4 linked regions of the Mus musculus genome follow. The protein of the gene in region 4 interacts with the protein of the main gene of each other region in a pairwise test. Links are inferred from orthologs where the notes say so. Each region holds a gene or a part of one and is shown on either strand. Other genes may lie near its edges.

What was found. The genes of interacting proteins can lie anywhere in the genome.
Region 1: the proteins of Rint1 (region 4) and Ccdc121 interact in binary tests that used the Homo sapiens proteins (3 or more experiments, as listed by UniProt). The two-hybrid records come from large-scale screens. The link is inferred for Mus musculus from reciprocal best matches to the Homo sapiens genes RINT1 and CCDC121.
Region 2: the proteins of Rint1 (region 4) and Rbm41 interact in binary tests that used the Homo sapiens proteins (3 or more experiments, as listed by UniProt). The two-hybrid records come from large-scale screens. The link is inferred for Mus musculus from reciprocal best matches to the Homo sapiens genes RINT1 and RBM41.
Region 3: the proteins of Rint1 (region 4) and Ribc1 interact in binary tests that used the Homo sapiens proteins (3 or more experiments, as listed by UniProt). The two-hybrid records come from large-scale screens. The link is inferred for Mus musculus from reciprocal best matches to the Homo sapiens genes RINT1 and RIBC1.

The regions. Positions count from the first base shown.
Region 1 is NC_000067.6:181,509,133-181,512,663, forward strand, and holds Ccdc121 (coiled-coil domain containing 121), read right to left. Parts: upstream 2,320-3,531; 5' UTR 2,254-2,319; coding exon 1,282-2,253; 3' UTR 501-1,281; downstream 1-500.
Region 2 is NC_000086.7:139,995,796-139,999,778, forward strand, and holds the start of Rbm41 (RNA-binding protein 41), read right to left. Parts: upstream 2,801-3,983; 5' UTR 2,713-2,800; coding exon 2,705-2,712; intron 952-2,704; exon of another isoform or gene 914-951; coding exon of another isoform or gene 870-913; intron 1-869. UniProt on the Homo sapiens protein: May bind RNA.
Region 3 is NC_000086.7:152,013,496-152,017,503, forward strand, and holds the start of Ribc1 (RIB43A-like with coiled-coils protein 1), read right to left. Parts: upstream 2,801-4,008; 5' UTR 2,668-2,800; exon of another isoform or gene 2,629-2,667; intron 2,374-2,628; 5' UTR 2,286-2,373; intron 812-2,285; exon of another isoform or gene 507-811; intron 1-506. Other genes in the region: Smc1a (structural maintenance of chromosomes protein 1A), read left to right, coding at 3,037-3,145.
Region 4 is NC_000071.6:23,808,211-23,811,710, reverse strand, and holds part of Rint1 (RAD50-interacting protein 1), read right to left. Parts: intron 1,928-3,500; coding exon 1,817-1,927; intron 1,743-1,816; coding exon 1,517-1,742; intron 815-1,516; coding exon 677-814; intron 2-676; coding exon 1-1. UniProt on the Homo sapiens protein: Involved in regulation of membrane traffic between the Golgi and the endoplasmic reticulum (ER); the function is proposed to depend on its association in the NRZ complex which is believed to play a role in SNARE assembly at the ER.

The sequences.
Region 1 (3,531 bases), on a different chromosome or scaffold from region 4:
AAAGATCTGAAGTTGGCCTCGAAGCTCAAGGTGAGCTTATAATACTTATTCCATGAGAAAAGAATGAAGTGTAAGAATGCTTTAAAGATAACAGCCTTTGGTCTGTGGACTCTCCTTTACAAACAGTAGGCAGGGGTGGCAGTGGAGATGGGGGGACTGGATTGGCACTGTGACAATTCCCCTGACACACGGCGTCCCTTTCTACCTTTCAGTTGTCTGTGTTCAGTTTCAGTCCAAAACAAAATGGAAAATTCTGGAAGAATGCAATTCATATATTTTGTGTGTCTGAGTAGTGTTGTGAGACCTTGTACCATGCTGGCATCACATAAGGGTCACAAATCATCCTTGCCCAGTGCGTCCATGCTGTATACACTACCCACCTGTTAGCCAGTGACATAGTGGCCTGACCCCAAGTCAGGATGCTTACATTATTTACCAGGTGTACATCATCACATGCATGTTCTGTCATTTCAAAGGGGTGGCAATAATACCATAAAATATTGAGGGATATAGTATTTTTATTACATTAATAAATCTGGGGAGCATTAAGAACTAATTACAGTTAAATTTTGTTTTTAACAACCCTGTTTAATGGCAAAGTATATATATTCGCCAACAATGTTAAAAGTAGATGATAAGGCACATTGACAAGCTAAGTTACCCTTTAATCCTGTTGTTTTTTTTTAACTGTTTTACACATAAATAAAGCTAAACAGTTACCTTGAAGTTTTCATTGCCAAAAATTTCTGAGAAACATGAAGCTGGCTATGTTTTTCCCCATGCAGGGGCATGACCCAAAAACAAGGCTATTCTTCCAGACCAGAGCCCACAGTTCAACAAAAACAGTTCATCACAAATGCAAACCTGAAACCCTTCTAAACCAACAAACCCCTACAATTTAAAATAAGATTCTTATTTGCTTCAAATGGCCCAAAATACATAGAACATGTAAGCTATACACTATACTTTGTGGACTGCAGAGTACACATTAAGAAAAAAAAAGTGTGGTAAAATACATGTCTTAACTAGGTACTCTGAGAATTTCAAATGCTACTATAAAAATGGGTGGTATAACCCGTTAAAAAGTTTTCCAAGTGTTCTAAATCTCCGGAATCTACAACAGCCCCAGGGACACAGACAGTGAGGATGTGGGTCCCAGACAAGGAGCACGACCCCATGCTGCAACAACTGCCCTTCCTGAAAGTGTGTTTCTATTTTCCACGAAGGATACTTTTTGGCTTGTAGATTATTCCCTGCGCCTCAATTCAGTTGCAGTAGCTGTTACTTTGAACTTGCTTTTGATTTGGTGCTCAGCATGGTCTTTGAAGCTCTCTGTTCCTTGAGGCGTGGGTTATGACCACGATGATGGCGCTCGCGTTCTGCCTGCAGCCGCTGCCGCCCTCTGGTCAAGGCTTCTAGGTACCACTGCTGCTCCTTCGCCAGCTGCCGGTGCTTTTCCAGCTGGCTCCTCACAGCATCCAACCTGCCGTACTCCTGGCTCAGTTGCTGAAGCTCCTTGCGTAGCTGCTGGTTCTCCCTGTGGAGACTGCCACAGAACTCAGAATGAGCCTGCTTGGCTGCTAGCGCCAAGGCCTTGTACTTCCTCGTAAGCCCCGTGGTGTTGATCTGCCCCAGCTCCATCAGATGCCACTCTTGCAGCTCCTTCTCCATCAGTGCCTTTTCCCGCAGGAACTGGAAGTGCGCCTCCCGGTCCTTGGTCGCAGTCTCACTTCGGACTTTCTCTTGCTCCTTCTCCAAGGTCTGTATTTTCACGTCCTGGCCCTCCTTTATCTTGTAAACTGGCTTCAGTGCCTGCAACTGCTGCTTCAAATCCTTCTGGGTCTTTCTGCCCTGCAGGAGCTGGGCTTGAAGAGCTGCGTTTCTCTGGTTGTATCTGGATGCCAATTCTTGTCTCTCGCGTTCTATCTCGCCACATTCTTGGACGTACTGCTTCCACAGCTCCTCCTGTTTCTTCTCACACTGTTCCTTATTTTTACGCAGGTATTCCATGAAAAGCTGGTTTTCAGCCTGCACACGGTATTTTTCCTCTAGTAGCTGCCTGCTGTCCTTCAGCAGCCTTTCCCGCCGGCATTTGGTTTCTTGGATTTGCTGGCTCAGCTCCTTCATCGCCACCACTGTCTTCCTTTTTACCCGTTTCTCCAAGCTCGTTAGCAACTTTGGCTTGAGATATGTATTTAGAATAGTAAGGTGTGGTGTTGGCGGGGGTGCATCTCCAGGGCTCTGGGCAAGCATACTCCTTGAATCCCCAGGTCAAGGAGAGTGACTGCAAGAGAGCATGGGATGGTGGTTTGTTGTTTCAGGGCACAGAGTCCTGAGCAAATGTTCCCAAGGTTTCTCCCTCTGGTGGTCAAGGCGACCAAGCGACACTCAGCCTGCCAGGAAGTCAGAGCAGGTCAGAGGCTGTCCAGGGCTTTTCTGACTCTCTTTCCTTTTTGTTAAACAGTCACACTGTTTGTTGTCCAAACCAGTGCCAGGAAGTCCAGACAGGTGTCAGAACAGCATATGTCCTCCCTTCATAACGAGGAGGGTAGAGAAAACAGACCTGCTTGACTTTTAGAGTTTGTCAACATACTCAGCCTGGATTCCAAGTCCGGGCCTCACCACGCAGTGCATGAGGTGGCTGAAGCTGAGAGGGGTTTTAGGCCAGGCCTGTATGAGCACCGATGACCCAGCACCAGTAAAGTCCATATAGAACATCTAAGGTGATTTAGGACAATCATCACTCAAGATTTCTGAACCAGGGGTAAGAGTCCAGAGAATTGGTTTCTGTGGATATATGACTGCAGTTTTAAGGACTACCCGCTAATTGCCTTCTCCCCACTCACAAAGAAACCCTCTGTCCAATCCTCAGAAAGCTCTGAGCCTAAGTGGGGGTCCTTCAGATGCTAAGGTGGCTAAAAGGCCTACCCAGCCTCTGGCAATCGACTGTGCATGGAATGTCCATGTCTTCTGCCTTCTCTTGGTGTGTATAGTCTACATCAGGGTGTCGGGGGCTCTTTCTGCAGACCCAGTTCCTAGTGGGGCCAAAGTTAAGGGCGACTGCAGAGTCTTCTGTATGCTGTTCAGTGTCTCAATCCTTGAATACAGATAAGATCTCTTAGAGTTCATGAAAGGATGTGGAAGCTCTAAGAAGTAACATCTTCGTCCAGGACTATAGGTAGTTGGATCTGTCGGGCCCCCTGACCCCTGACCCCTGACCCCCGACCCCTTTGGCTCCCTTGGCAAGACTGTTATACTCTCCCAGAGAGTGATTCCCTAACTGCCCAAGGATTCTTCCAGTGATGGTTTCCCAGACTGCTCCCTTGAGATTCTGATTTGGGTGTTTTGGAGAGGAAAGAGGGATCTGGGGTTAATGCAATGATTCTTGCCATCAGAGTTTGACAAACACAGCGGTCATATCCCCTCACACCACAGCTCCCCTCACCCCATGGCCCCAAGCTGGAACTCAGCCTGTGCCGGATGCCTTGAAGATATGAAACCACGGGGCTTCTATAATCACTGTCCCCATGA
Region 2 (3,983 bases), on a different chromosome or scaffold from region 4:
GTTGGTCATGTTGTCTTTTCACAGCAGTAGAAAAGTTAACTAAGATACTACTTGTGGAAATTAAAGATATTCTAGGCATAGTTTTGATCAAGGAATTTGTAATATATTTAGGGAGAAGATGTATATCCTCTTGTGCTGTGTACCTGTGTCTATAAAGAGAGGGAATCTAAATAATAATAGAGAACCATGCTCAAATGAGTAGAAGTTTGCAGAAGAAAGGGCTAACCTGGGAGCTAAAGTGGTAAAGATAACTTCAGAATAGTATTCTTAAACTGGTACGGGAAAGATTGGATGTGACAAAGTAAAGGAAAGCAAATACAAAGAGACAGACCACGAATTGTGGGATACCTGGAACCTCTATTTAGATACTCGCTTTGAACAGCCTTAAATACACGAAGTAAGGGATTCTGGACCAGACCTGAGCATACACGGATTAGGAAGCAATTTATCAGTCCACTAGGTGTCAAAGAGTAAGCAGTGTTTAAGACCATGTGGATTAGAAGATAGAACTAGAGCAACTAGTTAGGAAACTATTGAGGTATGTGGCAATGAAGGTGCAGACTAGGGTAGAACTAGCAGAAATACAAAGGAAGGATTCAGTGGGAAAAGCCTTTAGGTGAATGATGTTAAAAAAGTAAAACAGACAGGCACATAAATGCAAACACTCAATTTCGAGCTGTTGGCACAGCTTCACAGAATGTGGGTATGAAGGAAGGAAAATGGTTCCAGCTGGGATACATGGAAGGTCAGTGTCACTACAACCTACACTGAGGTGAGCAGCCCTTCCAACTCTGAAATCCTCCCATGAAGTGCACTTCCAAGGCACTGGTCTGAAGCAACAACAAACGTTGACTGGCTACAGTTCTTACCGGGAGGACAGTCTGAGGCTCAACACAGAGGAAGCTGAAGCCATGTGAGGTCATAAGATCTGAAGCCACTAGAGAAGAAATTCTGAAGAAGGGCAGAAAGTATGAAGAGCGTCTTGTGGGGTAGACAACTGGATCAGGGCTGTGAGCCAACCTCAAGTGATTAAGAACTCTTACTCACGTCCCAAGAAATAACACAACCATGTAACCATATGAGAACAGGGTAGAGACACATGAACAAACACAAAGATGAGTTAAATCCATGAGAAAACTAAATATCGAATTTCTTACCAAACAGACCTTGTCTACTGGGGTTTATAATAAGTACAAAAAAATCCCTGTAATTATAAGATTCCTAGAAAGAGCTGGACCCATATTGAAATATTCTAAAATAACTCTAGAACTAAGTTTTTAAAAACCTTTTAAGTCTATCTTTATTTACAATCCCAAAAGTTACTGCTAAATTTAATCTGTTAAACATGAATAAGCATATCAACACACATGGCTCTATTGAGAAATACTGTGGGTTTTTAAAAAAAGCTTATCACAGAAAAAGACAATATACTCTCATTTATATAAGGTTAAAGCACAGATGATACTAGGAATATTTTGTTCAGGGATTAAACTCTTATGTGGAAAATGAACTAAAAAACAAAAAACAAAACAGGAACAAACAGCTGGGCTGTGGTGGCTCACACCTTTAATCCCAGGACCTAGGAGGCAGAGGCAAGCGGATTTCTGAGTTCGAGGCCAGTCTGGTCTACAGAATGAGTTCCAGGACAGCCAGGGCTACACAGAGAAACCTTGTCTTAAAAAAACCCAAGAAAACAAAACAAAAACAAACAAACAAAAGGCAAAGGAATAATTGTAATTGGTGCAAACTCCTAGATAAAAGGGGAAGAAGCAATCTGAGAGCCAAGGGGGCTTCTAAGGCACTTATGTGAATCATGTCCTACCTCTTAACCTGTATAGCAAACAGCTCTTTATAATCACCCAAGCAATACACTAGATTCACTTTCCATGTATGAGGAATCTCATCACAGAATAATTAAAATAATTCAAGCAGAGGAAACATGAAAACAAGACAACAAATGAAACAAACAACAACAAAAACCTTTTAAAAACAATTCAGGAGAAAGCATTCCTAAACAGGTTCTTTGTGCCACTGTTCCAGTGCGAAGATTCAATGGCAGTGTGAAGCCAAAACTAAGTGGCTCCTTTTTCTTAAGGTTTCCTGTCCTGTCAATAACTGGGAAGCTCCGGCCTCAGGGAGGTCCGCACCAGGCTCAAAGGGCCATTTACTGCAGAATCAGGAGGGGAAACTGCCCTAAGTTTCCTTTCTTCTTCCAAAGCACCCGAAGCCAGATCTGCGCTCAATTTGGAGATGCAAACTATCACCCTGTAACTTGAAGATCTCAAAGCACTACCCGGTGTGGCGGGCCCATTATGTCTTTAAAATCTAGACAAAGTAAAGTGCCCACCCTCTGACCCTCTGGCCGGTGAGACCTAGCAGGACCAGCGGGCGGGCCAGGGAGTGGCTGGCGTGAGCATCCGGAGAGTCAGGAATGTGAGAGGCCAGGCAGCTCCAGACGCTTCTGCCCTGAGGGAAACATTCCAGTGGAAACCCGCCTGGCTACGGCCCTTCCAGAACTTCACCCCCGCAGACTGGTCCAGCCTGCCGGCCTTCCCTCCTCCTTTCTCCTTTGTCTTCCCGCTGGAGAAAAACCGCCCCTCAAGAACGTGACACATCCCAAACAAAAGGGAAAAAAAAAAAAAAGACACAAAAGTTTCATAGTAAAAGATAAAAGTTGCCTTCAGCAACCCGGATATGACCTTACCTCTTCATGTTTCCGCAGGCCCCTATCACTAACTTGGGTAAATAGGAAGGAGACCTCAACTCCCAGCAATCTGTGCGGCAGACTCAAAGGTGATGAAGGTTGGAGCGTGGAACTCTGGGAAGTGTAGTAATGTGATGATGGAAAGAGAAAGCGGGTATTGGGTGATGGGTTTATTGGAAATTAAGAATTTTTGGCCCAGGTTAAAGATAACATCCAAAATATAAAGCTCATAAGCCTAGGATTCACCTTTGGCTTCTTGGATTTTTCTCTAAGTATCAATAAATCCTATATTGTTCCTAATCACCGTCTTCATTCTTGTCAGCAAGGCTTCTCTTTTAAGGATTTATCTGACCTGCCTGCTGTTTCCCCTCAAGCCTCTGGTCTAACCACATTGTATGCACTAATGCTTCTCTCTTAGTTGTAACAGATCCTTCTGGGTTCCCTTAGTTTAAAGTCAGAAGCAGTACGTACCCAGACTTTTGAATATTTTATAAAAATATATCGAAGCCAGAGTCAGATATGGTACTGAACCGGAGTTCAGTTCCCATACAGCAGTTCACAATTGTCGATAACTCCAGTTCTGAGCATCTGACTTGTTTTTGGGACACCAAGCACACACGTACATGCAGGCAAAAAACTCCGATGCAGAGCATAGCTTATTTTTAAAAAGCTTCGTATAGAAAAGTGTTTAAAAGCATTAGTTCCCGGGTTTAGGGATGTAGCTGAATCTGTAACGTGCTGGCTTGACATGCATGCACAAAGCCCCCTGTGGGATCCTCAACACCACACAAACTGGGAGTGGAATACTTGTTCGGGAAGTTCAAAGGCAGGCTGGACTACACGAGACCCAATTTCAACAATAGCAACAGCATGAATAACAAAAACAATAAAAGTATGTGTTCTTAATGGCCCAAAATGGAAAAGCAAGTATCTCTAAAGTTATGAAAATGTATTAATTTATAAGATGGAAATTTCAAGCTACAAAGCTCATTTAATTACATAGCTCAAAGCAAGCCAGGTCTACATATTCTCAAAAAAAAAAAAAAAAAGAAAGAAAGAAAAAAACTAAAAACAAAACCAAAACAAAACAAAAATATAAAACAAAGAAGGACTACTACCATGCCTCCAAACTATAAAAGGTAAGTAGAAAATTCTGAGACTCTGCACATTTATGAGGAAACAAGAGAAATATGATTTCTAAATGTATTGTAGGATCTTGAAATAGACAGAGGACACACGGTAAAAACTAAGTACATATAAATAAAGTATAGTTTTTATT
Region 3 (4,008 bases), on a different chromosome or scaffold from region 4:
CAGGTAAGATGTGCCCACTGGTGTAGTAATGGCATGACTATTATAGGGTGTAACCAACCACTCTGATTAGATTTGAGACCTGGTTCTGGTCCACAAAAGGGAATTCATGCCTGCTACTATAAATCTGGTCAAACGTCCATGTCTGGGCAGGTCATAGGCCCTAGGGGGAGAACCTACTAGTACTGTTTTTCTAAATGGTCATTTCTGTCAACCTGCCTTCTAAATATCTGTATTTATATTCATAGTTTAGTGCTGCTCTCCAAGGAGCTTCTTTTTTCTCTAGATAAGTTTATGCAGAAACTCACAACGCTCAAACTGTTGAGAATAAGTGACTAGAATGAGTGCCTAGCCCTAAATGAGATGTGTGTGTATCACCACTACTCCAAAGTTCAGGGGCCGTTATGCTACAAGGACTGGACAGAATGGAAAGAGCTGGAGGATGGAGGGCAGTACTGGGAAATGCTGCCTTTTAGATATGACAGAGCCATGCACTTGTGAATTCACAGCAGCTGTGGTCACCTGCAAGAGACCTGTACAAGACCGGTAAAAGAGCAAGCCAGTGAACCTTCCAGCATGGATGGACGAGGCTCCTTTCCAGTTGAAGAGCTATTAGAAGTTGATACCTGCCAAGGAATTGTCAATTTTCTTGCAGGTGCATACTATGCACATGTGGGTAGGACCAATTGGACTCTGAATCACAAAAATGTGTGGGATACGATGGGGCTTTAGAGGACAGATGTTGATATGAGGGTGGATATGACCCATATTCATTGGTACATATATGAAAGTATAAAATAAAAATAAAAAACTGGCCAGGTGTGGTGGCACACGCCTTTAATCCCAGCACTTGGGAGGCAGAGGCAGGTGAATCTCTTGAGTTTGAGGCCAGTCTGGTCTACAAAGTGAGTTCCAGGACAGTTAGGACAATGCAGAGACCCTGCTCCCCCCCCCCAAAAAAGAAGAAAACCAAATCAACCAAACTACAACAAACAGTAAAACAAACAACCTCTCCATATTCTAAATTTATAAAGATACTCTCCTATATATTCCACAATTCCTAAAGTTTTGCCTTTATCATTTGTTTTGAATCCATTTGAAACTGGATTTTGTATATATTTAGAGATAGGGCTCCAATTTAATTTTCTCCCAAGCTACATTTAATCTTTGAAAATTAAATAGTAACTTTTAAAAATGTATGTGAGATTTCAAGCCTCTGATGATTTTATTCCCTCATGTTGCCTGTGACTGGTTTCCCAAAAGAGCTTCATATCAGATTCTATCAACTGAGCTTTCTCACCTTCCTAGACTCTTTAGGATTCTTCCCAGCTTTTAGACATTATTTAAAAATAGTTACAGGAATAGGACTAGAGAGATGGCATGGTGGTTAAGAATACTTCCAGTTCTTTCAGAGTTCTTTGAGTACTCGTGTTAGGTGGTTCACAACTACCTGTAACTCCAGCTCCAAGGGATCTGATGCCTAATGTCTGTGGCTTGTGCACACATTTGATCACGCTTGCACTTGCACACAGTTACAAAGCCGGGCAGTGGTGGCACACACTTTTGATCCCAGCAGGTGGATCTCTGAGTTCGAGGCCAGCCTGGTCTACAGAGTTCCAGGACAGTCAGAGCTAGATGGAGAAACTTTTGAAAAAATAAAAGAAGATACCCAGGAATAGCTGTGGAAACCACCAGACTCTTTCCATATCTAACTGAAAATGGCACTAACCCCGGCCTATAAAGACAATCTGTTGTCACAATAGGGGGATGATTCAGTAGACATCCTGGGCTGCTAAGATCATGACTATAAGGTGATAGAAGGGGAATGAAAGAATGAAGAAAAAGGGGATGGAAAAGAATTGGAGAAGGACAGGGTATAAAGGAGAGAGAGGAGAGAGGAAGAGAGGGGGGAGAGAGGAGAAAAAGAGGGAGGGAGAGGGAAGGAGGGGAGAGAGAGGGGGGAGAGGGAGAGAAAGAGGGAGGGAGAGAGAGAGGTGAAGAGGTGGAAATGGGGGAAACTTGATGTAATGGAGGGAAAAGGACAGAGTTGGAGCGAGAGAGGGAGGGAGGAGAGAGGGAGAGGGAAGGAGAGGAGAGAGAGGGGAGGGGGAGAGGAAGGGAGAGAGGAGAGAGAAAGAGAAAGGGAGGGAGAGAGGAGAGAAAGGGGGAGGGAAAGAGACAGAGGGGAAGTGGTGGAAATGGGGGAAACTTGATTTAACAGGGAGGGAAAAGGACAGAGCTGGAGCACTGGCTTAAGGACCTGGACTCCTAGTGTTCACACAAGATACCTTTCTCAGTACAGAATTCCAGTTTTGAAGCTCGAAAATGGATTGGACCCAAGTTGACTCTTGGATTTACAACGGCAGTCTTTAAATTCTGCTTGGAGAAATAAGAGAGAAGCAGACGATAGGGGCAGTATTTCAGAACACAGCCTTTCCCAACTTGTATCTCTGTTGTCTAAGAGATACTCTCATCGTCCTCACACTCTAAGCTCGCCTCATCTAAGTCCTCCCTTTGATCCCTCTTCCATCCCAAACTGCCCACCCTTCCGAGGGCGCCTTCCCATTCCCGACTGAATCCTTGGCTGAAGCGCTTCTCCCCGTCTCCCCCCTTGCTGGCTAGACTACAAACCCCAGCCGAGCTTCTGCCTCCCACTAGCTCTGGCAGAACCTTGAAGTGACTTCTTTCCCAGCAAGCGTGGGCTCAGACCCCGCCTGCTTGCTCTGATTTCCCCCGAAGTGATCAGAGCACTAACGCTTCCCGTCCTAGTTGGCGGCCACTTCAACAGTTGCTGGGTAACTACGTAGAGGGGCGGGGCCTGAGCGCCCAGCGCGTGCTCCAGCCGGGCAACAATTCAACAAAAGCGCTATTTCAGGCGGAAGTGACCATTTCTGGCCCCGGAAACAGGAAATCGTGATTGGCTTGGACTTATTATCGCGAGGCTTACTGTACACCCGGCTTGCACTGCGCTATTTCCCGCGCGGGCTAACCTCGTTCCCAGGAGTAAGGCGCGGCCTTTCCTACGCCAGCGCCGCTGTCATGGGTTTCCTGAAACTGATTGAGATCGAGAACTTTAAATCGTACAAGGGTCGACAGATTATCGGACCATTTCAGAGGTTTACCGCCATCATTGGACCCAATGGCTCTGGTGAGATTAAAACCGGCTGTGGCCCTGCGCGCGTCCCGGTCCGGTTCCCCCTGCTTGTCTGCAAAGTAGTACAACCTACCCCCATGCAACCCGAGACATTGTGAACCCTGAAATGTTCCTTGATCCTCTTGGTGGGGCTTGGATCTGAACTTGCTTTCCCTTTTGGCATACACTGAACTCGAGTCTCTTCCCAACTGTCAGTTGGCGGAGTTCGGCGCAGACCCCCTCTGGCCCGAATGGTATGGGCCGAACCGTGCGTCGCCCCGCCCACTACCCCTCCCGCCAAAAGAGGCGTTCCCGAAATTTGCTGCCAGTTGTTTGGCCCGCGGCTTCCTTCCGGTCTGCATTGTTCCACCTTCCTAAACTTGTTTGACACCTCTGGGAAAATTTGGGAACCGTAACTCTGCTTTGGCGTCCGATCCCAAGCTGTGTACTTTGTGCTCTACTCAGCCCTCCCCGCACCCGCACCTCCCGATGGAACGCTCCACTCTGATTCCTTTCCCCCCCCCCCTCTCTGCTGTGGCACTTTTGAATTTCTGACCCAGCGTTCCGCTCAGCAGCGTGGGATTGCGATGCCCCCCACCCCTCCGCATGCCCCCCACACGCCTAAGAGATTGTTGCTTTGATTTGCCTTTTTCCTACCAGAAAACCGTAAATAAGCCTGAACTTGTTCGCTTGCCAAATTGGTGGAGGGTTTGGGGTTTTATCAGTTAAGTTTATGCGGGGAGAGCAAATCCGAGATCGCGGGAAAGGAGAAGCAAAGTACAAAATAAGATAACACTTAGGCCATTATAAATGTTTTGTAGAAAAGGGGTTAGGCTGATAAGTTAGAGTGACTTTGATAGTAACCCTACTTTTTCATA
Region 4 (3,500 bases):
TCTGCGGAGAGAGTGAACAATACATGAATGAACCTGGTACTCTCCATGACAGCTGGTTTTCCCTAAAGCCCGGCTTTACTGCCTTTATGATCAAACTCTTAAGAAATTACACATGTATAACATCTCAGGACTTCCAGAGTGCTGGGATTAAAGGTGAGTGTTACCACACCTGGCTCAATCAAAAGTGAGGCTACTGCCACAGATTTCTACTAGTGTAGAAACAACATTAAGTTACTATACCAGTGTTTGTTAACTACTAAAAAAAATAGGTACATGTGAAACATACTATTGTTTAAGGTTTATTTTGATGTACATGCATGCCAGGTGCCTGAGGAGGCCAAGAGATCACTGGATACCCAGGGCTGGAGTCACAACAGGTTATAAATGGGAGCTGACTAGGTCTTCTGTAAGAGCAACAAGTGCCCGTACCTGCTGAGCAATCTCTCCTGTTCCATGCACTGCATTACTTTTGTTGTTTGTTCGTTTGTTTTGGTTTTCTGAGACAGGGTCTCATATATCCCAGGCTGACTTCAAACTTGCTTTAGAGCTGAGACTGGCCTTGAGTTCAATTCTCCTGCTTCTGCCTCACAAGCTAGGATTACAAGTGTGTACCCCCATGCCCAGCTTTAAAAATTAATTCTAAATTAGCATTGTATGTTAAAAGGCCAGGGCTTACCAGTTATAACCAAAAGCAGGGTCATAAAGACTTCCGCACAGTCTGGAACCTTCATTTCATCCACATCAGAGATGTCTTTATACTGGGATACCCAGGCAGCCTCTGACGAAAGCATTGAGTCCATTTTTTGAAGAGCAACTAACACGAAGGAAGAAGGATCAGTTATTTCATCCTTCAGTTATCAACTCACACTTTTTTTTAAGGAACTATGTTTTTCATACAAAATAAATTTTTAATCTCCCACTAACTAATCACACTATACTTAAAATGTCTACTTCAGAGTTAAATAAGATACCTGATTCTCCCTCAATAGTTATGCTGACTAGAAGTGGCACATCTGAAAATACCCAACCAAGAGTTGAAACTGTGTATGGCAGAAATCTACAGAACATCACTACCTTCTACTGGTTTGCTATCCCAACATGTAGACTGTAATTAAAACAAACAAACAAAAAGAACCCAAAACAAACAGAAGTCTTGTGGAAAGAAGACTGTCTTTGAAGGTAGTTCAGTAGATCCTGCCCAGGAAAGATTTAGGCGCCTATAGTTCTTACTCAGAGCTGTAAGAAAATCAAAACTCCGAAACTTTATACACCAAAACCAGCCATTGCCAGGCAGTGGTGGTCCATCCCCTTAATCCTAGCATTTGAGAGCAAAGGCAAGTGGATCTTAATGAGTTTGAGGCCAACTTGGTCTATACAGAGCGTTCCACGTCAGCTAAGGCTACACAGTGAGACTCTGTGTAAAAACAAAAACAAAAGCAAGCAAAAAAAACAACAACAGAAACAAACTAAAACCATCCAGAGAGCCCTCCCGCTCGACAGCCATACGGGCGCTTACACTTTCTCTCCACAGTCAGCCATCTCTGGAAACAGGTCTCCTCCGACAGGATGTGCATGCAGCTGGCGAATGTGCTGGGATAGCCGTGAACGGTGTGCAGCTCCCTTTCAAACAGCAGCACCTCATCCACCAGGTGACAGAAGAGGCTGTCATCGTAGAGCAGGCAGGGGATATCAGAAGCCAGCTTCTCAAGAATGAGCATCACAAGGCCACGGGAAAACTCAAGCTGAAAGAAAGGCACAGGCATGGGGGTTGTGCCCAACTCCAAGGAAGCTGAAAGGCACAGGCTCAGCCTCTTACCCTTGCATTTACTGCAGAGCCCACTTTGTCCAATATTGGCTGAATCTTCTCATCCAGAAACTGTGTATGGTTTCCAATCCACATAAGTACCTGAGCCAAGTACCATTCAGGCTAAGGGGAAGGGAAAATGGTATCAATTCTTTATGTATTCTATGGTGATGGGAAATTCTAATTAAATGCACTTAGTTAAAAACAGACACAAAAATTAATTGAAAATTCCTGAATGTAAGAAAATAATTCTTATCCCGCACTTCAATTTCACAAAAGACTTCATAATCAAATGTTTACCAATATACTTCCACAACAAATTCCAATAATGCGGCTTAAGTCAGTAAACTCATAATTTAAAATACCACATTGGGATTAGGTGTGGCTTGCTGGTATAACATCTGCCTAGCTACAAAGCCTGTTTTAACCCCAGCATCACTAAAAGAGGAAGAGAGGGCATAAGAACAATCATGAAGAAAAGTCTCTCTCACACTTAAGAACAAGCATCTGCCCAGCACACACAAAGCCCTGATTCCAGAGCAAAACTAAACAAGCAGACAAAAGCCACGGCACAGGGTGGGCCGATGGGTAAAGGCACCTGCCAGCAAGCCTGACAACCCGAGCTTGATCCCCAGAATCCACATGGGAGGGAGAAAGCCAACTCCCACAGACTGTTCCTGGCCTACACAGAAAACAAAAACCAAACTTTTTAAAGCCCTCCAAACCTAGCATGATGAGGCATTACAAACAACCAAAACTTTTACGTTGTTTTTTGAAATAGCACTCCAAAACAGAAGGCTCTGAGATAGGATCTCAGGTAGCCCACGCCAGCCTCAACGTCTCTATGTGCCTGAGGGTAATGAACGCTGGGTCTTCTTCTCTACTTCCCTAGTGCGAGGGTTTCGAGCATGCACCGTCACCTGTGACTTATGTGGTGCTGAGGACCAACCTGGGCTCCATGTGAGCGGAGCAAGCACTCTGCCTACACTGAGCTGCGAATAATTTTAAACATGATTTCTTTTCTGCTTCCTCTTTTTAAAAGGTAAAGTAAGGAAAAAGAGTCAACTGCTCTAATTACAAATATACCTAAGCCTTAACATAGGTGTAACTTCCTAAAGGAAATAGGCACAAAGCATTCACATTTCTTCCACTTTGCTCTGTGTGCACGCATGTTTGAATGTTTGTGTCTGTGTACAATGCCACTGTGTACGGGCACAATCAGATGACACCCTGTGGGAGTCACTTTTCCCTTGCCACTACCATGTGAGTCCTGGGGATCAAACTCAAGCTGGCAGGTTTGGAGGTATGTGGCTTCACCTACTGGGCCATGCCACCTGTCCCACATACAGCATTTTAAGTTGTCTTTAGAGAGGATTCTGCAAGCATTTCAAAAGTTTTTCTAGACGACAACTTGAAACCATATAGTAGGCTGGGGCTATAATTCAGGGATAGAGCATTTGCCTCCCACATGCAAGGCCTCAGTTCAATCCCCAGCACTGACTGGCAAATCCCCATGTGTCCTAAATGTTGGGGATATAAACAAGGGCTGCATCTAATCTCATGACTGTCTCCATGACAGTGTACTAAATTCATTAGGATCACACTTTCAAAATGAGCCAACACAACGCAGAATTTTCTTTCTTTCATTTTTTTTTTTTTTTTTTTTTGGTTTTTCGAGACAGGGTTTCTCTGTGTA